3 linked regions of the Tamandua tetradactyla genome follow. The protein of the gene in region 3 interacts with the protein of the main gene of each other region in a pairwise test. Links are inferred from orthologs where the notes say so. Each region holds a gene or a part of one and is shown on either strand. Other genes may lie near its edges.

What was found.
Region 1: the proteins of NXF1 (region 3) and GFAP interact in a two-hybrid assay, tested with the Homo sapiens proteins (3 studies listed by BioGRID and IntAct). The two-hybrid records come from large-scale screens. The link is inferred for Tamandua tetradactyla from reciprocal best matches to the Homo sapiens genes NXF1 and GFAP.
Region 2: the proteins of NXF1 (region 3) and SRSF1 interact in binary tests that used the Homo sapiens proteins (3 or more experiments, as listed by UniProt). The link is inferred for Tamandua tetradactyla from reciprocal best matches to the Homo sapiens genes NXF1 and SRSF1.

Annotation. Positions count from the first base shown.
Region 1 is NC_135332.1:22,511,796-22,520,072, reverse strand, and holds the start of GFAP (glial fibrillary acidic protein), read right to left. Parts: upstream 3,663-8,277; 5' UTR 3,361-3,662; coding exon 2,900-3,360; intron 2,111-2,899; coding exon 2,050-2,110; intron 1,856-2,049; coding exon 1,760-1,855; intron 981-1,759; coding exon 819-980; intron 1-818.
Region 2 is NC_135332.1:38,935,929-38,943,855, reverse strand, and holds the start of SRSF1 (serine/arginine-rich splicing factor 1), read left to right. Parts: upstream 1-4,623; 5' UTR 4,624-4,769; coding exon 4,770-4,963; intron 4,964-5,396; coding exon 5,397-5,581; intron 5,582-5,931; coding exon 5,932-6,104; intron 6,105-6,306; coding exon 6,307-6,501; 3' UTR 6,502-7,927. UniProt on the Homo sapiens protein: Plays a role in preventing exon skipping, ensuring the accuracy of splicing and regulating alternative splicing.
Region 3 is NC_135335.1:11,786,932-11,795,127, reverse strand, and holds the start of NXF1 (nuclear RNA export factor 1), read right to left. Parts: upstream 3,292-8,196; 5' UTR 3,147-3,291; coding exon 3,119-3,146; intron 2,962-3,118; exon of another isoform or gene 2,778-2,961; intron 1,711-2,777; coding exon 1,527-1,710; intron 1,307-1,526; coding exon 1,153-1,306; intron 567-1,152; coding exon 483-566; intron 371-482; coding exon 266-370; intron 140-265; coding exon 59-139; intron 1-58. Other genes in the region: STX5 (syntaxin-5), read right to left, coding at 5,273-5,432.

The sequences.
Region 1 (8,277 bases), on a different chromosome or scaffold from region 3:
TCCATCAAGCCTTCCCCCTGCTCAGAACTATCCCTGGCTCCTGCTGCTCACACTCCCCAGTGAGGCGCCCTGGGGGCTGGCATCCCTGCACCCCCATCTCTCCATGTTTTTCTACCCCCACGCTGCTGTGTCCTCCACCTGGAATGTCCCCTCCTCCCTGCATGTCCACGGCTGACTGTCCTGCCCAGCCCAAATGGCCCCTTTTATGTCTTTCCTGGTTCCCAAATTGCAGATTAACCCTGCCCTGTAGTGTTCTCTGTGGACCCCATTGCCCCAGGGGAATGGACGCAGGTGCTCGTTTGGGTACACATCCTCTCCCCCCAGTCAGCCACCACTCTGTGTCCCGGACAGGGCCTGGTGCACGTAGGTGTTCAGTAATTCAAGACACAGCCTGGCAGAGGGATCAAGAAAGCAAGCTCTGGAGTGAGATGGGCTAGGGTTGAAAAGCCAACTCCACCGTTAAGGAGTTGTGTGACTTTGGGCAAATTACTAACTTCTCTGGACCTCATTTCTCTATTTATCAAAGAACAGTGCCTATTTCATAGCAAAATTAATCCATCCAGAGCCTGGAACACAACAATGTTGACTACCACTAAACTACTACTACTACAACTAGTAGTAATAATAGTAGTAATAATAATAAGTACTTGTTGGACGTAGTAGTGCCTGTAAGACTCTCGGAGTCATCTCATTTCTCTGGAAGTCAGTCACCCAGAGAGGAGCCCCTTCCACCTTCTTCTACCCTCCGTTCCTAGTTCTCCAGTATGGAGAAAGGAGGACTGTCTGGAGGAGGCAAGCTGTCCCACAGTCAGGGCTACCTTGGACCGGTACCACTCCTCTGCCTCCTGCATGTTGCTGGATGCCACTGCCTCGTACTGTGTGCGGATCTCTCTCAGGGCTGCCGTGAGGTCTGGCTTGGCCACATCCAGCTCCACATGGACTTGCTGCCGGGCCAGCTGTTCCTGGAGCTCCCGCACCTCCTGGTCAGGGTGAGAGAAGGGGTCCCAGGGCTCAGGATTCGGGCTTTGGCCAGGGTATCGTACAGCATCGTACCTGCTTTTACTCAGGCATTGGCTGAGAAGGGGGGCATCCCTAGCTGGAGGTAGAGGCATGGCCCAGGCTAAGGAAGGCAGGGGGTAGTTTGGGGCCTCAAGGTGTCCTCTGCCAGGGCTGGATGGGTAGGAGCCCGGTCCTGAGATGTGCCTGCATTCTGTGGGTGGGTACCCAGAGGTTCCCAGGTTCCACAGGGTCATAGATTCTGAATCCGTGCTCTGAGTTCAGAACACAGTGGGACTTTTTTTTTTTTTTTTTAATAAATGGCCCTCACTTGAAGGGAGGCAGGTGACAGAAGGGATGGAGTTGGAGAGACTAACTGTGTGACCGTAGCAAGTTCCTTAACTTCTCTGGGTCTCAGTGTCCTCTGTGAAAAGGGGATAATACTGGAACAGTTCCTACCTCACAGGGCTGTTATGAAGAAAAAAATGAGGCCATGAGGCCTATTTGAATCCAGTAAGTGGAGTGTTTGATTCACATGTGTGTGCCTTTTAACGGGGGTCCGGAATGCTCTCCTGTCTGTCTCTATCCCCCTCTACCGCACATTTTTCTCTGTATCTGTTTCTCCCTCTGTCTCTCACTTTCTGCCTCTCTTTCTTCCTCTGTCTCTGAGTATCTCTCTGTCTCAATCTCTCATCCTCCATCTCTGTCTTTTTCTCAGCTTCAGTCTCTGACTTGGGCTCTCCTCCCTCTGCTTCAGCCTTACCTCCTCGTGGACCTTCCTCAGGAACCTGATCTCCTCTTCCAGAGACTCAATCTTCCTCTCCAGATCCAGACGGGCTAGGGTGGCTTCATCTGCCTCCTGGAATGGGGAGGGGACAAAGGACCACTCTGACCTCAAACTCCTCTTCTCCCTTCCCCAGGCTTGTCTTACTTCTTCTTCTGGGGCAGCAGGAGTTCATTGATCTGAAGGGCTGGGTTTGGGGGGCTTGGTTTAGGTGGGCTGCCTCCAACCCTCCCTCCCCACCCCCCAACCTTCCCCTCTACCTCCCTGACCTGTCGATAGGCGGCCAGATTGTTCTCAGCCTCCACCCTCAGGTTGGTTTCATCCTGGAGCCTGGAGTGGGGAGGGGTGTGTATGACACATTCCTGGATCTAGGGTCTTCTGAGGACTCTCAAATCCCTACCGTGCTCTCCCTGCCTCAGAGACCCCCAGAACTGGTAGGGTGGCAGGAGGAGTAGGGGTCAAGGGGTCCTGGATCATGGGAATGGCTGGGAGGGTGGGAGGGTGAGCAGATGAGAACTTTGGCCCTAACTCATTACTGAAGTCCCTTAAGTAATGAAGTCCATTACTGAACTCCCACCAGTGAGTACTTGCTGCTGCAGGTACAAACTCACACACTTCCCCCTGCACTTGCAGGTAACACACTTGCCCTGCCAGCTCAGCAAAGCTCCACGTCCCAAGCAACTGCCGCTTGTGATGGATTTTATTATGATCGCTGCTTCACAGCAGTGCAAGTCAAGGTGACTTGCTAGGGTCACGAGCTGAGAACAGGCAGAGTGTGTTCTGAACCCAGGCTTGCCTGCTCTATTTTTCCGCCTTCTTGCCTTCTAATCCTCAGGCTCAGGTAGGTGCATTTCCCTGCCAGGATCTCAAGGCCCAGCAGTGGATGAAATGCAAAGAACCTGCCCACTGGGTCCCCCATGGTCCCCGGCCCAGCTTTCCCCAGTGGGAGTTGCTGTCCCTGGGACTCAGATCCTTGAGGCTCTAGTCCTCCTCCTGCCCCCTCCCGTCATCTTGGGGAGCACAAGAGCCCTTCCCTCCCAGCAGTGGGGAAACGTGGGAAGCAGAGAAGCAGAGCCCCTGACGAGACCCCACAGGCCCCTCCACAGTCCCCCTCCTCACTTCTGCCTCAGGGTGCTCAGGTCCTGTGCCAGATTGTCCCTCTCGACCTCGAGCCGTGCACTGTTGGCCGTGAGCTGGTCGAGGCGCAGTCGCAGCTCGCGCAGCTCGGCCTGGTAGACGTCAGCCAGCTTGGTGGGCTCCTTGGCCCGCAGCTGGTTCAGCTCGGCTGCCAGCGCCTTGTTCTGCTGCTCCAGAAAGCGCACCTTCTCGATGTAGCTGGCAAAGCGGTCATTGAGTTCCATCATCTCTGCCCGCTCACTGGCCCGTGTCTCCTTGAAGCCGGCATTGAGTGCCCCGGCCAGGGAGAAGTCCACCCGGGCCGGGAGTGGAGGGGGCATTCGAGCCAGGGAGAGGCGGGCGCCAGGCCCCAGGCGGCGGCTGGGACTCAGGCCGCCCCCCACCATCTCCAAGGAGGAGACATAGGAGCGGCGAGCAGCAGAGGTGATGCGTCGCCTCTCCATCCTGGCCTGGCTCTGCCTGCTGCTGGGATGTGAAAGCTTTATGGAGGAGTGGGCTGGCCTGCCACTGCCCAGGGTGCCCCTGGCAACGCCCCCCTGGCATAGCCTGAGGGGGTGGGGTTGGGCCGCAGCCCAGCCATGGGGAGAGCTCCTCTCACCCCACTGAGGTCACTGTGCCCAGAGGCAGGGCTTCCCGGGCATGCCAACCCTATCTGGGTCTGGAACCCTGACCACTGGACCAGGAGACCCCCTTTCCAGAAAAGTGGGTCAAAGAGGGCTGAGCCAGGTGACCTCTGACCTATCTTCCATCTCAGATTCCATAACCATTGTCATAGGCAGTCCCTCCCTCAGCACTCCTTCACTGCCTGCCTGCTCCATGCTGGGAAATTAGCAAAAAACAAACCTGTTCTATACCCTCAAGTGACAGCCTGCTACAGTTTCCTACTGAGCCCCATTCCAACAGATTCCTGTACATCCTGCCCTCTGAATACAGCCATCCTACATTCCTGCTTTCTTGTCTCTCCTTGGAGTTCTGGGATTGGGGCCCAGGTTTGGACACCAGCCTCCGTTTTCTTGGTGGGCTATCTGAGGCCTTTCTGTCTAGCCGAGGCCAGTGACAGTAGGGACCTTTGAAGGTCCCAATTGATTGGGTCGAGGGGGTCAGGTACTATACTCTCTGGCCCCTCTCCTTGGGCCCCCCTAAGCCCCTACCTTATTCCCACTGGGCTCACCCCTCCCCCTGCCTGGCCTCCTTGCCCCCTCCCCAGAGCTCAGGCCTTGACAGCTCCACAAAGCAGTTACGAATGAGCTGGCTGTTCCAGCTTGCATCTTTGTTCCTGCGACTCCCTGTCGCCCTGGTCACCCCCTCACACACCCCCTGGAAATATATCTTCTTTGAGTTCCCACACTTCAGGCTGGGCTGATGGGAAAGGCCTCTGGGGATGGGTGAGTTTGGGAACCCAGGAGCCACTGAGTGCAGACTGGGAGCCCGGACCCCAGGCCTGATTGCCCCTTGAGCCTTCGGGTCGGTCTACAGCTGTCTACCTTGGTTCTTAAGGGTCAGAGCCCTGCCCAGGACCCTCACCAATCTATGTCCTTGGACTTCTGGGAAGCAGGCGGCCCTCCTCCCTCCCACCCCCTGCCACCCCTGCCCATGCCCTGAGCTGCTGATCCCTTTTCTGGGGCTCTTGCTGAAAGGAGCCTTGTTCTCCGCCACCGGTGAGGGCGCCGTGCGGGAAGGGCAGCTCCCGGGGGCCTGAGTTGCTTTTATCCTGAGATGCCAGGCTGTCAGGCCGGGGGGTAGCCCAAGTCCCCTGCTCAATGGGTTTCTCGGAAGGCATCTGAGGGGGGCTGGGGTGCAGTGGGAAGCAGGCTCTGTGCCCACCCTGACTATTGTTTCTGTGCCAAGGTGAGTCATTCAGTGGGCACCAGGGGAAGGCCCTGGAGAGTGGTCCAGCATGCCAGGTCTCCAGCTTTGCAGACAAGGCCATGCTGCCCACCCTCTCCCCAGCTCTTAGAGCCAGCGCAGGACCCTGAGCCCCTCTCAGGGTAATATCCCCTGCCCCATGCCAGGGGACATGCTCTTCATTTGGGCATGTCATGAGCTGCCAGCTGATGTCGCCCCTGTGAGTTCCAGCACAAACTGAAGGCCTGAGAGTCCCTTCCTTATTCTCTGGTCACATCTGATCCTGGGTCCTGAGCAGTAATATGGGGAGGGGGCACCCAGTGACCATTCATCCTGTCGTGGGTTGGTGAGCTGGGGACCAATAGGGACTTGAAGAACAAGACAGGGGACAAGCCCGGGTTCTAACCATCATCTCTGAGCTAGTTGTGGCCCCCTCAGATTGACTAGCAAATCACAGCATGTGGTCTCCCCTTTTTGTCCAAGTAAAATCCGAATGAGTGCAAAGCAATCCTGGAAATGAAAGATGTAACAAAAGTAGGAAGGGCTTGTCAGAAAAGCTGATGAATTGTGCTTCTGTATATGAGACAGAGGTTCATTTCAGAACCAGCAGAAGGGGTCCCCCAGCCTCACCCCTTCCAGCTGGGCCGCTGTCCCAGGCCCTGGCTCTCCCTGCCCCCATTCCCAACCTCCCATCTAGCACTCAGACCCATCCCCACTCTCAACCCTTGACTAGCTAACGGTGTTCATACAGAGAAGCAAAGGGGCAGACGGATTTGGTAGAGATTGTTTTCCAAACTTGCATTGTTTTGTATTACATATTTATTGTAGAAAAATTAGAAAATAAAGATAAGCAAAAATATTTTTTTAATTAGCTGTAATTTTGCCACCTGGAGATAAACACTACCAGATTTTCTTCACATATAAATGCATTTTTTAAAAAGTGGGCTTATGCTGTACAAATGGTTTTGTAATTTGTTTTTTTTCGCTCAATATGTTATGAACATCTTTCCATATCGATAAATATTTATCCACATCATCATTTTCACAGCTACATGGTTTTCTACTGTATGCATTTATTTAACTGAGCTCTATTGTTGGACAGTTATGTTCTCTTTCTCTCTGTTCTAAATCACCACGCTGTGATGTTTTCCTGCCCTCAGGCAGACGCAGCCCACAGACACGGGCAGGCTCGCAGCCCTTCTGGCCTCCACCCCAAGGCCTAATTATGGTGTGGCTCAGTCCCCATTCTAGATGGCACCTCTCTCCTCCTGCTTCCCTAACCTGGTGGCCCAACATGTGAAGCCTCAGGCCCATCCCTAGACTGACCTCTGGGCAGCAGGACGCTGCCAGCCAGAGAGAGAGATTGCCTGTATCCCTCTACATGGCCTTCTGCCAAGCTGCACCCCACTCCTGAGCCGAGGTGGGTATAAGAGGGCCTCCCACTCCTTGAGTCTCTCCGTGCATCAGAATCTGCCACGATGCCCTCCGGTCACAGGCAAAGCCTAGATGCCTCCCCAGTCAGACCAACTCAACATCAAGCTGAACATGCATACAAGGTACCCAGTATTTTCCAAAGATGCTAGCCTCTAATTCAACTGGCCATTTTGCTGCTTGCCACCTGGCTGCCTCTGATCATGCTGCTGCCCCTTTCTTAGGGGCAGACCTACGTCTAGAATTGAGGTCTCCTAATTTTTCTTCCCACTATCTGGGAGCAAATCAAGAGTCATGCTCCCTTCATATTCCAGGGCACAGCAGCTTCATGTGGCAGGAGCAATACACGGGTAGCCCATGTAGCACTATTTGGCTTAATTACTGTGTGGACAAAAAAGCCTGGAGGTGGATATAAGAAAAGTAGAGGAGTTGAGAACAAAAGAAAAGTGAGTGGGATGAGAACAAAAATCCCTCTGGTTCCTGATGGCCCAGTCCATCCTACAGCTGAGTGTGGGAACCGAGCCCTGGTGGCCGCTAGATGGCAGTGCTCAGCTGCCCAGGTCCTAGCGGCCACTGGACAGCCAATTTAGAGTCACAGAGAAAGCCAGTTTCTAGCTTTAGGCAGGTGTTCTAAAACCCAAATTTGCATCTCCCAGAGAGAGCACCCCTTTGATTCCCTAGACTTGCCTCCGATTTCTATGGCAGTGTCCTCTAGGGGAGAGAGCAAGGCCTTGGCCATAAATTAGCTGTGTGATCTTGGGCGACTTCAGGAACCTTCTGAGTCTCCAAATCCCTATCTGCAAAATGGGCACTCACCATATCTACTTATGAGGTGGTTGTGAGTATAAAATCAGTGAGAACCACACATAGCAGGTGCTTGATGAGTCATGGCTTCCACTTAACGACAGCTACCCTGTGCCAGGGGCACCACTCCATCCCGTTTGAGAAGCTCTTGGTGTACTCCTACCTCCTGTGGCTATGGATCCCATCTGCATTTCAACTTGAGGCTTCCCAGTGAGGGGACCTGTTCTCCTCCTTGGATGGGAGCTTTCTCATGCTAGCATCTGTCTTCCCCGTCAGACTGGTGTCTCCCTAAGGTGATAGAGTCTCTCTCCTCGCCTCAAACTAAGGCTCCCACAAGAGAGGATTCATACCTCCTCACTTGGCAGGGAGAACCCATGGCCAGCTGTCAGTTTTGGACCTGCTGGAGGGCAAGGATTGTCTCCCTCTTTAGTGGGAGGGGGCGCTGCCTCAGAGCAGAGACTGGTCCTCCCCATGCTCAGCCTGAGTCCAGCAGCCTCTCTGGTTAGAGGGGTATGACTCCTGTGATCACAACCACTCTGGCTGCACCCCCCTCCCGATTCCTTCTTCTTCCTCTTCCCTGCCATCTTGGAGCACAGGGAAGGCATCAGCTCACGCACCTTCACAGACCCCAGGGGGCCAGACTCCTGTGCCAGGGTTAATAAGCTTGGGCCCTTTCTCTCCCTCCTTCCCACCATAGCCAGCATCTGCTCCAGACAGCCCACCCCCACTGCCACTGCTACCCCCCACCTCCCTGTCTCAAACCTCTAACCTGAGATCACTTTGTAATTGCTTTTCCCTATCTGCTCTGCTCCCCTCTCCCCTCTGAGGTCTTCCTGCCTGAATCCCTCAGGGCGGGTGAGAGGCAGGGAGCACATGTTGTCCTGGTGGGAGGAGAGGGCTGGTGGGCGGCCTATTATTTCCAATCCAGTGGTCCTCTAAATGGACAGGAAGAGCCAGGGAAAGGGGCATGAAAGGGCTAGGGGTGAGCCAAGAGGAGTCCTTGGGATGAGCTGGAAAAGCTTCCAGGCCCCCAGGGGGTGCTTCTGGTCCCTTCCAGCTCCTGTTCCTTCCTGGTCCCTCTTCACAAAAGAACCATGAAGGAGGGGAAGGCAGCCAAGAGCAGATTCTGGCTGAGGACCAGGACCCCTAAATCTAGCCAAGAGTCAAAAGGAAAAAATCCCTGGGGGAACTTAGGGACAGATGAGAAGGGGTCTGAAAGACTCCCAGTGGGACCCCACATGGTGATGAGGTGCCCTGTGGGGGCCAAACCAATGGCTGGG
Region 2 (7,927 bases), on a different chromosome or scaffold from region 3:
ATTTTTTCTTCTTTGTCCTTCACTCCCATAAGTTCTGTGATTTGTTTTTTCAGATTTTCTATTTCTTCTTTTTGTTCAGCCCATGTCTTCTTCATGTCCTCCCTCAATTTATTGATTTGGTTTTTGAAGAGTTTTTCCATTTCTGTTCGTATATTCAGCATTAGTTGTCTCAGCTCCTGTATCTCATTTGAACTATTGGTTTGTTCCTTTGACTGGGCCATATCTTCAATTTTCCGAGCGTCTTCCATTATTTTCTGCTGGTGTTTGGGCATTTGATCAGATTTCCCTGGGTGTGGGACCCGGCTGGTTGAAAGGTTTTTCTGCGAAATCTCTGGGCTCTGTTTTTCTTTTCCTGTCCAGTAGGTGGCGCTCGTGGCGCTCGTCTGTCTGCACAGCAGTCGGCCTGGGAAACCGCGCGTGGAGGGGGGGTCGCTGGCCGCCGCGGCTTGGGAGAGTGCCGGTCCAAATTGCCCAGCTGGCCCGAGATGCCAAGCGTGACGGGAGGGCCCCGCTATCCAACGTTCCCAGTCAGACCGGGGAGCCACGTGCGTGGAGGGGACCCCAGTCGCCAGCCGCCCCAGCCGGGAAAACGCGCGCCCCTCGGGTATCTCACTGCCGCGGATTCTCCCTGCCCGTTCAGCCGTTCCAGAATGGGGTACACTGTCTTTTTGGTCTCTGTCGTGACTCCAGGAGCTGTTTCGTATTGTTTCTGTTTCTTTAGTTGCTTTTCTGGAGGAGGAACTAAGACCCGCGCGTCTTACTAAGCCGCCATCTTCTCCGGAAGTCAAACAGAATGGCTTTTAAAAAGGGAATTTATTAAGTTGCAAGTTTACAGTTCTAGGGCCATGAAAATGTCCAAATTAAGGTACCAACAAGAGTTCACTTTCACTCAGTCAAAGCTGATGCCCTCTGGAATGCCTCTATCAGCTGGGAAGACGTGAGGAAGTCTGCTAGCTTTCTCTTCTGGTTTCTTGTTTCATAAGGATTCCTTAGGGGTCTTTTCCTTTTGCGTTTCCAAGGGTCTTTTGCTGTGTGGACTCCAAAACCTTCTCCATAATGGTTCCTTCTTAGAGGGCTCCAGTAAGCAACCCTACCTTGAATGGGTGGAGACACATCTCCATGGAAACCACCTAATCAAAACGTCCCATCCAGAAATATTTGAAAAGGATTTAAAAACATGGCTTTTCTGGTGTACACAACAGTTTCAAAATAGCACAGAGGGTTTTCATTTACCCCCATCTTTTAAAAGAAAGTTTCATTGAGGTTTAATTTTCATACCTTACAATTCACCTGTCTTAAGTGTTTAATTCAATGATTTTTAGTATGTTTACAGACTTGTGTAACCATCATCACAGGGAGTTTTAAATATTGAGCAAATCACTGAAAAAGTGCATTTGTGATTTCAACCCCTGCAGTAATTAATTTTCAAAATTTTGCAGTCTCTGAAGTAATCATTTCCAGGAGAACGTATGGTGCCAACACTAGTATAGAGTTACTGGATTGAACTGAAAACATTTTGTAAGTTTCTTTTTCAGGAAGCAACTTTTCATAAAGAGCAAGTGTTGAAAATAAGATTGCTTCTGAGAAAAGAGCTAGTAAAATCCATATCAGTTGGTTGTGGGCTCAATCCATAAGACTTCCTGTGAAAGTGTACTGAGTTTAGAAACACCTCGAAACCCAATAAAGGTGAGGATGTAATCTCAGAAGTCAAAACTGGAAGTGGCTGTAATTTGACCCGCAAAAACCTAATCAATTGTCTAGTGCACTGTTTAGAGAACGTTAATGTCAAGATCAGCCTACAGAAAGAATTGTCAATCTTTACCTAGTACTTTCCAGGAAACAGAAAACATCAAATCCGGCGAATATGAATATTCCTTTCTTTAAAGAGGTGTACTTTGTGTACTTTGTTTTTGGGCAGGGATCATTTATCAGGTCTCACCATGATCTGAATGAAACATCCCTCAAAATGATTCACCTCACTTTGTTCTGAGTCCTCATTTAGTAAGAAACAGTCTGCTTTGCTTTCCAGACATTCCAAAACAGTTGTCTTGGCATGTACATTTGAGCCACCTCATCACCAAAACTGAATCTGTCCCTACCTCCAGTAAATGAATAAATAGTTTCGTTTATTTGCCCTCTTGTCTATTAGTGGAATGAAATTTGTTAATCTATTCTGGGACACTGCTGACATTAAGATCCCATTCTTAGATTGTAATAATCACCAAATTAATGTCATTCTGGGAGACCTTGATAAATAGCCATCCAGATTTTCCTTGTCATACCCTAATCCCTTTGATTCCAGAACCTACAATTTGAATATTTTCAAATATAAAAAGGGGTAGCAGAGTTTGTGTCTCAGCTTCCTGGCTAAGATCAAGTGTAAAAAGGCCAGTAGATAAACAAGAAGGTCCTATTCACTCTTCTTAAGTTCTGTTTTGTATTTCTCTGAACTGAACAGAATCAGAAATATTTGCATTGAATTAGACAGACACGAATAAATCAAAACAAATAGTTTTCTTATTTTTCTGAATGAGAGTGTCTTAAAATTAAAAGCACCTATGTTTAGAACACTTCAGTTATCACTGACATAACACAACGTTAATCAACAGATGACTGAGTATTTCTTAAATTGATGGGTAAAAACTGGAAACGAAGACAAAATGTGATCAGTAATTAACTGTTGAAGGAATGAAAAATATATGACCAAAATTAAAACAACAATTCTTATCCATGGTACTGTGCCAGAAATTGAATAAATTTGTTGAAATAGTGTCCTTTTTGGTCTGATTCTTCTCACTAAAAAAAAAAAATCAGGTTCTTTTTTTTATTAAAAGCTCAGTTTCAAAATATATCATTGAAGGACGGCCTGAAAAGGTAATCTATCCTTTCTTTAAAAATTTCAAGTGTTCTTTTTCCTTTTGGAATTTTTAAGAATATGATTAAAATTTCAAAATTTCTCTCCAAAAAAAGTACACACACACATACACATAATTTTGGAAACCATTACAGAGAATTCAAGGACTACCAAAGGTCCTATAGATCTGTTGAGGATCTACAGACCAAAAGTAAGCATTCCTACTCAAGACGTTTCAAACTGAATTTGTATTTTGGGATCACTGAGAGATATGTGTAAAACACATTGCCAGCTTTTAGAACTAAGAAAACATGCCCTTCTCCTGAACAACCAATTTACTTTTTAATCTCAAGAGCACTTTGAATTTTGAAAATACAGGTGTTTCCTTCTTTAATGTGGCTTCTGGGAAGACCAGAGTCAAATTTGAAATCCATCTCTTAGAACTCAGCAGGCTCTTACTGCAGGCATTTTATCTACTAACGTTATCTGAGACGTCATCTTAATTTCTTCCTTATTTTCCCATTCTCCTTATTTATTCATTCAGTTATAATACTGTCTAATTCTATCTCTGTAAGCCTCATCACATCGTTGGGGAGAAGTACAAATAAGTAAACATAATGAAGAAAATCATCATTAAACTCAGGGTGCAGATGTTTTAGCAAATCTGACTGCAGGGTTTTCATAAAATTTGAATTTATTACTAACATTTAAAAATCCTAACATTTCACATAAAAATCTGGGAAAACGTAAAGAGCCAACACTCAAGCAGGATGACAATTCTGAGAAGCAACTGTGCCTTACGGTTAGTCATAGTTCTCACACATTCATTTTGCTAATTTATATTACCTGAGAAGCCAATAATTCAAAACTGTTGTACATAAATATTAGGGGGAACGCTTCAAAAAGGGATTACCTTCGGGATTTTGCAAACTCCCTAAAAATACTTTTTCTTTTTCGTCCTCTGAAATGTGGAAAAACGACAGGCACAATTCATTCTCCAAGCTTTCACTGAGCCTTTCCTCTACCCGAAGCCCAGCAAAGACACAATGAGTGGAGCAGAGGAGGTCTTGGTCTTGGAGGCGGTACGATGTTGTTTACCCCACCGGTTATCAGGTTCCACTTATGATTGTTTAGGATCGCCCTAACACAAAGCGTGTTGAATTGAGCCGTGCAAAAGTTAAGCCCTGAACCGAAGGTGGAACAGTACTTTTTTGCAGAATATTTACTAAGGAATCTAAACTGGCCCTAGGTCTTTTCACAGGTGAAAGGGCGGGAACGCAAGGCCACGCCTTGACTCTCTACTAAATCACCAGTAACACAGCTCCCGCACAGGGTCCACTCTCGGAAGATGCCCTAGTTTCGGGAGCAACCAACTGGTCCCACCCCCTCGACCCCGCCCCCGAAATTCTTTCCCGCCAAAGACCGTTAACACCGCAAAGCATGGTGGGACAAAAGGCTCTAGGCTGTTTCACCAAATCCTTTTAAGGCGCCGATTTGCCTTAAAAGAGGCCCATTCCTGGGGAAACTGACTGTCTTTCAAGGCCCGACAGGCACGAATAGCCCCTTTATCGAAGTCCCGGATTTAATTTTTATAAAAGGCTGGTCACCCCCTTGGCAAACCGCACTGCACAGCGAGAACGCGGGGAACTTTTTTCCCCTTCGTGCGGAGGGTCACGTCGAGCGTGCGTGTGCGTACTTCTCAACGCGCTCGTTACGTTTTGCGCGTGCGTATTGAGAGCGAATCACTACTTCCTCTCGTTTCTCTTCCTCCCTCCGTCGATATCCGTGCGCCCAGCAGATAAAGGCGCCATTTTGGAGGGGCCGCGGGAGACGTGGTGTCGCTGCGGGTTCGCTCTGTTGTGCGCTAGGCTTGGTGGGAAGGCCTGTTCTCCAGTTCGCGCTTTCCGTAGCCGCCATGTCAGGAGGTGGTGTGATTCGTGGTCCGGCAGGGAACAACGATTGCCGCATCTACGTGGGTAACTTACCTCCAGACATCCGAACCAAGGACATTGAGGACGTGTTCTACAAATACGGCGCTATTCGCGACATCGATCTCAAGAATCGCCGCGGGGGACCGCCCTTCGCTTTTGTTGAGTTCGAGGACCCGCGGTGAGGCGGCATGGGGCTTGCGGCTTTGAAGAAATAGGTTGGAGTAGTTGGGGAGGCTGTGAGGCCTTAACATGGAGAATGGGGGGGTGGGGCAGTACTCTTGGAGAGGTTGGGGGCGAGGCAATATCGCCCACGCTGGAGTTGAGTAAGGAGGCAAGTTGGTTTGGCTTCTGTGGTGGCCTGGCCCCATGGACATCCCTTGAGCCGACTTGCATGTTCCGAGCGGGAAACTGAGGAGCTCTGGGCTGTCGTATCGTCTGGAGGCTGGCATGCTTCTGGGTGGGGGAGGGGCCATTTCTATTATGCAGCGCGTGTGGGCTCTTCCACACTCGGTGCGCATGTGCGGGTTTTGATGGTGTACTAGCTCTTGACCGAGTTAAGACTTCCTTTGCCGGACCCTTTTCTTATCTCTTTGCTTTCTGTGGTCACGCAGAGACGCGGAAGACGCGGTGTATGGTCGTGACGGCTATGATTACGATGGATATCGTCTGCGGGTGGAGTTTCCTCGAAGCGGCCGTGGTACAGGCCGAGGTGGCGGTGGGGGTGGAGGTGGCGGAGCTCCCCGAGGGCGCTATGGCCCCCCATCCAGGCGGTCTGAAAACAGAGTGGTTGTCTCTGGTGAGTTATTGCTGTTATGGGTTGATGAGAGGGAACAAACTACTGTAAAATTGTTCTTGTATGCTTGACTTGATAATTGGAAGTTTTCATGCTAGGTCTTAAGTTTTGTTCTTATTGGGTGAATTTTAACGAACAAGGATCGCTGTAATGAAAATGTAACCAAGTAAGATTGCAGTACTAGAATATGAAGATCCTTATTTCGCAAATAGTTTTGGACTCTGGATTCCAGAATCTTGCTTGGAATCATTTAGGTACAATCATTATTTTGACATAATCTTTGTTCTAATGTACATTACACATTTAAGGTGATATTTGAGATACTTGGTATTGAAAAAAAAATCACTTTTCAGGACTGCCTCCAAGTGGAAGCTGGCAGGATTTGAAGGATCACATGCGTGAAGCAGGTGATGTATGTTATGCTGATGTTTACCGAGATGGCACTGGTGTCGTGGAGTTTGTACGGAAAGAAGATATGACCTATGCAGTTCGAAAACTGGATAACACTAAGTTTAGATCTCATGAGGTAGGTTATACACTTATTCTTTTCTTTGGCCAGAATTGGATACAGTGGTCTTAACAGTGGAATTTGAAGGTAAGGATTCAGGCAAGGGTGTCCAAGTAAAGTGCCAGATCATTTCTGGTTTTAGTTTCATTGATTCATTCAGCATGCCTGAAGTCAGGTGAAAGCTTAGATCTTTCAATCGAAAGTTCTGTCTATCCACTAGGGAGAAACTGCCTACATCCGGGTTAAAGTTGATGGGCCCAGAAGTCCAAGTTATGGAAGATCTCGATCTCGAAGCCGTAGTCGTAGCAGAAGCCGTAGCAGAAGCAACAGCAGGAGTCGCAGTTATTCCCCAAGGAGAAGCAGAGGATCACCACGCTATTCTCCCCGTCATAGCAGATCTCGCTCTCGTACATAAAATGATTGGTGACACTTTTTGTAGAACCCATGTTGTATACAGTTTTCCTTTACTCAGTACAATCTATTCATTTTTTAAAATTCAAACTGTTTTGTTCAGAATGGGCTAAAAGTGTTGAATTGCATTGTTGTGTAATATCCCCTTGCTCCTAACATCTACATTCCCCTCATGTCTTTGATAAAAATTGTATTTTAAGTGATGTCATAGACAGGATTCTTTAAATTTAGTTAACTCTCCATGCTCTTCAGACTGTGATAATGTGTAAATGTCTATTCTGCTCTGGTTTGTGTGAACTGGGATGTTGGGGGTGTTTGTGGTTATCTTACCTGGGGAAGTTCTTATGTTTATCTTGCCTTTTCATGTGTCTTTCTGTAGACATATCTGAAGAGATGGATTAAGAATGCTTTGGATTAAGGATTGTGGAGCACATTTCAATCATTTTAGGATTGTCAAAAGGAGGATTGAGGAGGATCAGATCAATAATGGAGGCAATGGTATGACTCCAAGTGCTATTGTCACAGATGAAATTGGCAGTATTGACCTTATACTAAAAGGCAAGGGTTAAAAAGTAAATCGACCTTAAAAGACATGCAAACATCTTATGCAGTTATGTGTAGCTACAATTGCTTTGCTTTTTAAACCTTGGCAATTGTGGCAAAATTACATTGCCCATTTTGTAACAATTTATTTTGCTCCCTTCCCTCTTTTTTTGTTTTAATAGGGACTAATGTGGGAAGAACTGGCTAATTTTGTCACAGTGCTTAGTTACAACTGTTAATGTGTGACCTGCTGTTGGTGTACATGTGGGTACAGGGTGTCTTTTAATTCCAACCAGATAGAGTATAATATCAATACTGCTAAATCTGCATGTCCTCTGTGTGACTGATATAGCGTTGCTATTTCATTTTTTTAAGACAAAATGAAAACAAAATACAGAATTTCAACATATTGGTGTAGATAATTTAGTTGGGAATACGTTAAGTCTCACCTTCCCCTTTAATATTCATGATTGACTCATGCCTAAAACACTTAATTTACAAATTAAATTGCAGATGGGAACGTTAGCTTTAGTTTAGACTTAGGTGGGTACCAATACCAGTAAACTTTTCAACTACATAACTTTTTGCAACCACAAAACCTGTAATACGCTGTACAGTAACAAATGTTGGCATTATCAGTTGAACTGTAAATATAAAATGCTTCTTCCAATTAGTCTCTATGATGATTAAGTTTCTAAAATTTATCTGAACACCATTCAGAAACTTGTTTTGGGGAATTTGATAGTTATTGATGTACATCTGTTAATACTGATGACAGACATAACTCATCATTCCCCAGAAACTTTTTTTTGATTACAGTATCTAACATTTTGCCTCCTCTTTTTTGGTTTTGCTGGTTATAAAGGTTTGGATTGGAGAGGGCTCAC
Region 3 (8,196 bases):
GGCTGGGCAAGAAATGGCTGGACAGGGATGAAAACAAGCAGTACTGCTCCTGTCTCACCTTTAGCTGCTCTACTTGTTCTGGTTTCAGTTCATTCTGCACAATAAGGGGTGGAGCAGAGGGGTTAATGATGATACATATCTGCAGAGAAGACATGAAAGGCAGAGTGTAAACTCCAGGGGAGCCTAAATACCAATGCCAATACCCAGTCCCTGCCTGCCACCCCAATCCCCACCCCTAACCAAGCCAGGCCCTTGACACATGTACCCGTCGATTTTCCCGATCCAAAATCTTATAGTTCACAGCCTTCAATGCAGAAGCAGTGCTGGCATCCTCAACAAAAAACTGGGCCCGACTGTTCTCATAGTGAAACTGCAAGAAGAGAAATAACAGGATTAGATCTGGAGCCCAGAAACACTTGTCTATCTTGCCCCCTCCACCCTCCCTGATGCCCAGGCAGCCTGCCACTCAGGCCTTGTCTTACCTCGATGGGTGTGAAAGGGACACGGCACTTGCTCTGAATCAAGTTCAATAGCCATGACTTGTCATATTTTCTGCCGTAAGGAATCTAGAAATAAGAGAAAGAGAAAGAAAAGGAACAATATGCAACTAAGGCTGAAAAGCAGACTTGAAGGTTCCTTTCAGACCTTCTGCCAAGCTTTAAAAGATTTTCTAAAGAAAGGACCAGCCATATGTTTTTCTATCTGAGCCATACATGGACTCCTTAATCTTCTTTCTGTCCAGTTAAAATTATTATTTCTCCAAAGGATAAAAAATCTGGGTTATAAAAAAGTATCAAGATATTATTTATACATTGCCTACCCCTCACAGAACTCCAGGAACTCCAACTCCCACACCTGGTCAACTCCACACTGGGCCTGAGCCAAAAGGAGACATCCAGAGGAGTTACTCCAACTCCTGACCACAGTTACCATGCTTACCTTTTGAGGGCCTCCCCCATCCTCCCTGTCCTCTTCTATCCCTTCTTTCAACCCACTCTTAGGTGTTCAAAGATACTGATCCTCAGCAAAAAGGACAGGCATCAAACTGTGGAGGTCACAGCCAGAAAGACTGATTCTCTGGAGTTAAACACATTCTCCGTGGGCCCAGCCCCCAGTCTCAGCCGCACCATCTACTTTCCCAAAAGTACTCACTGTAATCTTGAACCAGTTCTTCAAGGTCCCATCCTGGCTGGTGCCAGCCGTTCCTCTATCCGAAGAAGCCCTGTCTCTCCGTACAGTAACATGGATACGGTCTCGATCACGCCAATTATCACCCCGACGGTTGGGTCGGGCAGCATACGGGGTGCTGGGGGAAGCAGAGAGAAAAAAAGTCCATATTTGCAACTTTAAGCCTTCTCAAAGACTTTCCTACACTGCTGTCAGAGATGTAACTAAAACTATTCATCCATTAAGCTGATCTAGTATTTATCAGTCTTCCAAGTGGGAAAGAGAAATAACATGGGCAGTTGCAGGGCTGCATCATCTAGTGTGTCACTAAATTCAAACCAGATCAACTGGCCACTTACTATCGTACTCGGGGACCATCTTGGGCATCACTCATTGGTACATCTCCATCATCTTCCTCAATGCGGGAAGATCGAACACCAGAACCACCTCGTCCAGACCGACGATTCCCTTCACCACACTTCCACCGGAAAGGACCCCGGCCTTTCTTTCTTCTTTGAGGGAAATTAACACGGTCATCATGCTCTAGAGTTGGAAACAGGAACACAAGTTAGAAAATACATCATCAGCAATTACAGGAGCTATTATCCTGCACTATTGGAGGAGACACATACTAACAACAGAAGCCACCTCCACCCAAATTCCTCTGCCTGTCCAGAAGAAAGAACCCTCTCTACGAGATGGAAACATCAGAAAAATTCTTGGAAAACTGCACAGCGTTTCTGAAAAATGAAGATTTGATAGACTGAGAGAGTCACCCAAACTGTTCTCTCTCAATCTATCAAATCGACTCAATCCCACCCAAATTTTGGAAGGCAAATTCTCTGACACATCCTAAAACGAATCAATCACAATGATTACATCAGCACTCAGTAACCTACATTTCTCCTGCCTGTGCGTTACAGATGTCACTCAAAATCTGCCCAACCTAAAACATCTCCCTGCTATTATACTGCTACTCATATTTCCTGAGTGCTCCTTTTCCTCTGCCTGAGATGCCTTTTAACACAGGACACAACTCCTAGACTCAGGCTCTAGTAACCAAGGGTCCAGGAATGTTCTCCAGGAATATGACCCTCTTTAAATCTAGGTGGACAGGAGTTTCTTTAAAAAAGTCCTGTGACGCCTAAACATGTCTGCCTAATGCCGACACTGAGCCTCAAAAAGGACTCTAGGAAAAAAAAAAAAAAGATAACAGCAGCTAACATTTACTGAGAGCTTTCTCCCTTGCCAGGTGCTATGTTTCAGGCCCTTGATAGAAATGATCTCATTTAAACACACACATACTCTCTCTCTCACACACACACACACACCTTTGAAGGTAGCTGTTGCTTCTACCCTCATTAAAGAGGTGGAAAATGAGGTCTGAGAATTTAAGTAACTCACTAAAGCTTGACCTAGTCGAACGAGGATGCAAACCTCGGCTGCCTAGAGACCCTGACCACAACACTGAACTAAAACTCAGGCGGACTAGAACATTGAGACGGTGTGTAAAAAAGCTAAAATACTAAATGAGAGCCGCAGGTCCTCATTTAGTCGCGGTAGGAGATAGGGTACCAGGACAGCCCAAGAGCGAGCACTGAGTCACTCACATTAAAAGAGTCTGGTCGCCAAACTGAACTGACCAGCATCAATCACCCACAAAGTTTAAAGGATTCTCGTCACCCCATCCCTGAACTACTTTGCTTCGAGCCGCAGGTCCTCACAACACCAGGACTCCGGAGTCGCGTACCCCGGGGTCCATCCTCGAGTTCGGCCGAGATCCCCTTCCGGGCTGCCTGGTCCCCGGCGGCCCGCCCCACCCGCCCCACGCCGCCGCTCCCCGCGGACTTCGGGTCGCGAGCGGCCTCATCACCTGGGGCTGCGGCCTAGGCCGGCGCCGCCCACCCGGGCACCAAATCGCTCCGCTTCGCCACCGAAAGCCAGCACTTACCACTGTACGACTTCCCTTCGTCCGCCATGGTACAGAGAGAGGCAGGGACAGGCTGAAGCGCTGCCCAGGAAGCCGCCAAACGTCCAAACTGAACCAGTAGCTAAGGGCCGAAGCGCTTCTACGCCGGGCGCCACAGCATTTATTCGGCGAAGTACGTCTCGCGCTACTGACGTCACGGCGTTGTGGGCGGAGCCTCTGGGGGCGGGGCGGGGCGGGGCCTGCCTGCGCGTGCGCACTTCAGAAGGCGGACGCTTAGGAGTCGGGTCTTGTCCCTCCCACGCCTCGCTCGACTGAGCTTTCCAAGCCCAGGATTTGCTGCCAGCCTACCACCACCACCTCCTTTCATCCGTCTGCAGACTTCCAGAGTTAGTGCCGGAGCAAAGAGCAGAACAATGGCACTCGGGGTGCTCCAGTCCAGAAATCCGAGAGGAAGGCGGACGAGGGGCGGCCCGAAAGGATACTGAGGAATGGGAGTCCCGGACCTCGGAGCGAGTGATCGCTTACCGACACCTCGCCGAATTCAGCTAGTGTTTAAAAGTCTCGGCTCAGCTCTTTATCGGCTGCTGACCTTGGGGCTCTTTCCCATTCTGTAAACTGGATTAATAAGCACGAAATCAAACTCTAGAATGTGAACTCCATGGCTTTTTTCTCCAGCGCCGGGCCCAGTACCATGCATGGCACCAAGTAACAACAAATACTTGTGAAATAACTTGTTTTAACCATGCTCCGAGAGTTGCCCAATTAAATGGGACTGCATTTATAACAGGCTTCGGCGACATTCCTCTTCACAAACCAACCCAATCGCTACTGGTGTACTGTGCCAGGCCCACATCACATGTGGACTGAGTATATGGTGGAGGTACAAGCGATGGAAGAGAAGCCAAGACAAGAGGAAATCTGTAAATGCCGGGGGTGGAAAAACCATGGACTTCCCTAGACCCCCAAAAGAACTAGGACAGGCTGAGTATGGCCAACTGCAGTCTCTACGGCTTGAGTTTTGTGTGAACCAGGGCACTCACTCAAGTGATCTCAGAATGGTGTGGTTGTGGGTCCTGGTCAAGAAAGATAAAGAAGCACATTAAGCTCCTAGTAGAGGGGGTATTCTGGGCAGGTCTCTCTCCATTCTCCTGTGACTAGTTTGGATTTGGTGAAGACTTTAATGGGAACTAAGAGATTCAGCCGCCGCAGGAACAAATTCACCTTCCGCTCCTGGCAGCGGACAGAGCTCTGAATTGGGGCCAACAGGTTAAAGGATTAAGATGAAACCGGTCCAAATACTGCTGCTCAAGGCAGTCCTGGAAGTTACCACCAATCAGGGAATCCCCTCCTCCTTTGATATGAAGTTTCCATTCAAATTAGGTGCTACCGCACTTTGTAATCACATGGCTGGAGGCAGCTGTGTGGTACAGACGCCAAAGGCTGCAAAGGTCAGCTGTGGGGCCCCTCTGAACCATTAGCTGATCCCTTTCAGTTCCGTTACTGGGCAGTGGGCTCAGCCCACTCACTGCCTAGGTAGGCCCTTCGACGCTCCCACCCAGAAATGACGACATGGCTAGTGAGGCTGACAGTCTTTCTGTAATTGGAAGAAAACAGGCTGCAGTGCATTTGGCATTCTGAGAGTCACTAGCAGCCAATGTTGGGGGGGTTGTGCAGGCAGCCAAAGGGCTCAGGGCCCTCTGCCTCACTTAGTGAAGAGAGGAAAAATAAACAGGTCAAGTTCTAACCCAGATGGGAAAGTTGGTCCCTGGGGCAGTTTCTCTTCCTCTCCTCACTCTCAGAAGGCAGGGAAGGTCATCACTTCCCCTTGCTCCCAGTTTCTTTTCAGAGAGGCTGTGGGGGGTTTATAAAAATTTCCTAGTGGAGGCAGCCTCCCCACTGGCCCCCAGCTAGCCTCTGCTCCCTTCCAGCCACTTCACAACAGAGTCCAAAACCAGAACCCTGTGTGGTTTGTGGGTCTGGGGGTGTTAGGGGAGAGGCAGGATAGCCAGAGGCAAAACATGGTTGGAGGATCAAGGGGCAGTGGCCATTCTTAGCAGTTCCAGGGAAACAGGGCCTTTCTTCCAAGCACCCTGTACAGGCTCAGTGGCAGCAATGGCCACCTGCCCCCCCAGGTGGGCTTCAACCCCCCATGGAGTGCCTCAGAGTGGAGAGGATTCAGGCAAGGAAGACCACAAAGATGATGAAGAAGACAATGAGGATGAGGAAGATTTTGACCATGAGCCACCGGTTGGAGGTGACTGACTGGAAGTACTTGAGGATCTCTGAGTGGGCAGCATCAACATCCAGCTGGGCTCCCAGCACGTTCTCGTCGATCCTGGGACAGGGCCGGGAGAAGAGGAAACAGAAGGACACTGGATTAAAAAGAATGCTGTTGAAGTGTATTTATTGACATAGAAAGATGGACATGGTACGTGGGGACAAAAGGGTCGATATACAATATGATACCATTTATGTGTGTGTGTGTGTGTATATATATATATATATATATATTTGTAAACAGAAAATGCCCTAAAGGATATATAATGAAGTTTCACCTCTGGTTTAATGACCCTAAGCCAGTGATTTAACCTTGAGTCTGTTTTACTTGCCTGCAAAATAAGGATAACACAAACCCAACCTCTCAGAACTGTCAGTTTTAACCCACAGTAAAAGCCCCCAAAATGTTAGCTATTAGAATTTTTTGCTCATCAGTATTTACTGAATTTTGTCTAATGACAATGAAATGCACTTAGAAGTTCACAGACCATTACAGTCAGGAAATCCTAGTTCTAAGATGGGAAGATAAAAATTAATGATATGAACAGGAAGGCAGGGGATAAGAAAAACCCTACATTAGGAAAACATATGTCTCTTTAGGATATAGCGAAGTCTTCAGAGGAAGGACAATCTCAGGAGAAATTGCTGAGGCAAATAAAATATTTTCCAGTCACCTACAGTTACTATCCTATAAACCGAATACAAACTCTGGTCATTGCAGTGGAAAGCCCTGGCAACAGAGGCTTTTGAGAGTTGTGGGCATGAAAAAACTGGAGGAGCCTGACAATCCAACTGGAAAGTGACAAAAGAGGCTGGGCCCGTGGTTGCAAGCCCAACGGTGTAGGCGTAGGTAGGCCGACATGAACACTGGTGTGAGCTAATCTCAATGTCTCAAATACAGGAACCTGAATTGTAATTCCCCAGTAATGTTAAGAGGCCTAACTAAAGTATCAGGTTTCCTAGCTTTGGCTTTAATTACATTTCTCAGTGTGGGGGCATTTGTTATCTCATACTGAATAAAGCTCAAATCAACAATTACAAATGGCTTTGCTTGGGAAAAATAAATGCAATCTGGTATATATAATTTTTTCAATGAGTCTATGATTGAAAATTGACAGAGGGGAACTCTGGTGGTGAAAAAATTAGGACTCAAAGGTGTTGCTGGTTTTAAACTATTATATATCCCAGAAAAGCCAGTTTAATCCTGATCCAATCTTGTGAGGCCAGACCTATTGTTTAGGGTGGAAACCTTTGATTAGATTCTTTCCAAGGAGGATGACCTATGCAATTTGTGGGTGTGATCTTTTGATTAGATGGAGATGTGACTCTACCCATTCAAAGTGAGCCTTGATTAGTTTACTAGAGTCCTTTAAAAGGGGAAACATTTTAGAGACACTTCAGATGTAGACCCTTGGAGAAGAGTTGCTTCAGAGCGGACAGAAACACGGATGTTTGGAGATACATGGAGTACCAACTTGGAGAGCAGATGCCTAGACATGGGCAGAGCCCAGCAGACATCACCATGTGCCTTCCCATGAGATATTACACAAGCCAAAACCCAGAGCTATTTCCCAGAGGAGCTAAGTGAAGGCCCACAGATGCTTAGAGAGGAAACCACTGATATCAGAAGCTAGAAGCAATAGAATCAGGAACAAGGACCAGCAGACATTGGCCTTTCTTTGGAGTATCGGTATCTTTCTCTGGATGCCTTAGTTTGCATAATCTCATGGCCTTAGAACTGTAAACTTGCAACTTAATAAATTCCCATTTTAAAAGCCATTCCATTCATTTCTGGTATATTGCATTCCAACAGCTTTAGCAAATTAATACAAATGGGATATTCAGAGGAAATAGCAGGGGAATTAGAAAACGGAAATGAAAGGAATGGCTTGGGAAGGAGAAGGCTGAAGAAAGCAGAAAAGGGAAAGGTTGGCAAAGGGGAAAAAGACACAGGAATGTTTTCTGAAAGAAAGAAAAACTACAGAGGAAGGGAATCAAACAGTAAAAAGTTGGAGTCTGGCTGAGTGGAAAAAACACATAATGGAAACCAGAGCACTATAAAATGAGTATGAGAAACTGGGGACAAAAAAAGAAAAAGTTGAACCCCAAAGAAGATGGTACCCCAAAACCTAGAAAGATTACTTGGATCATGATTAGGATGCCTGGGATTTAGTTTTCTGGATTTGTTTCTCCTCAAATTTTATATGATTGAGAGTAATGAAAGCTATGTGCAGAGGACACAGAAACTGACTTGAAGTGGCTCCATATGACTTGAAGTGATCACCATAAAAGAATAGTGATAACGGATTATGATACATTAAATAAAAAAAAAAAGAAAAGAAATCCATGATTCCACAGTGATACTTAAAGAAAAAGAATGCCTCTTCTTTCCAGAAGAATGCTAGCTAGTAAATGTAGAAGAGTCTAACAAAATGATGCAGGCAAGGATCATAATATGGCTAGAGTGTTGGACATTCACACAGACTCAAGCCATCATTTCACTGATCACTTAGTCACAAAAGGGGAGAGAGAAATGGGCTTTTTCACTGGAGTAATTTGATGGTGACCACCTTAAACAAGTGACCAAACTTGGCATCACCAGTAAAGGGATAAATCTGACATTAAGTTCCTATTGCTGTGCTCACACTCATAGCACAGCCAAAAATATTTACCATAAATCTAATCATGAGGAAACACTGGACAAATGTAAAATGCAGGACTTCCCACAAGATCACTGCATTGGCCTAGTCAAAAACTTAGTCAATGCCATGAAAAATGAAAGAAAACAAAAGGCAGACTAAAGAGATAATTAAATGCAATGC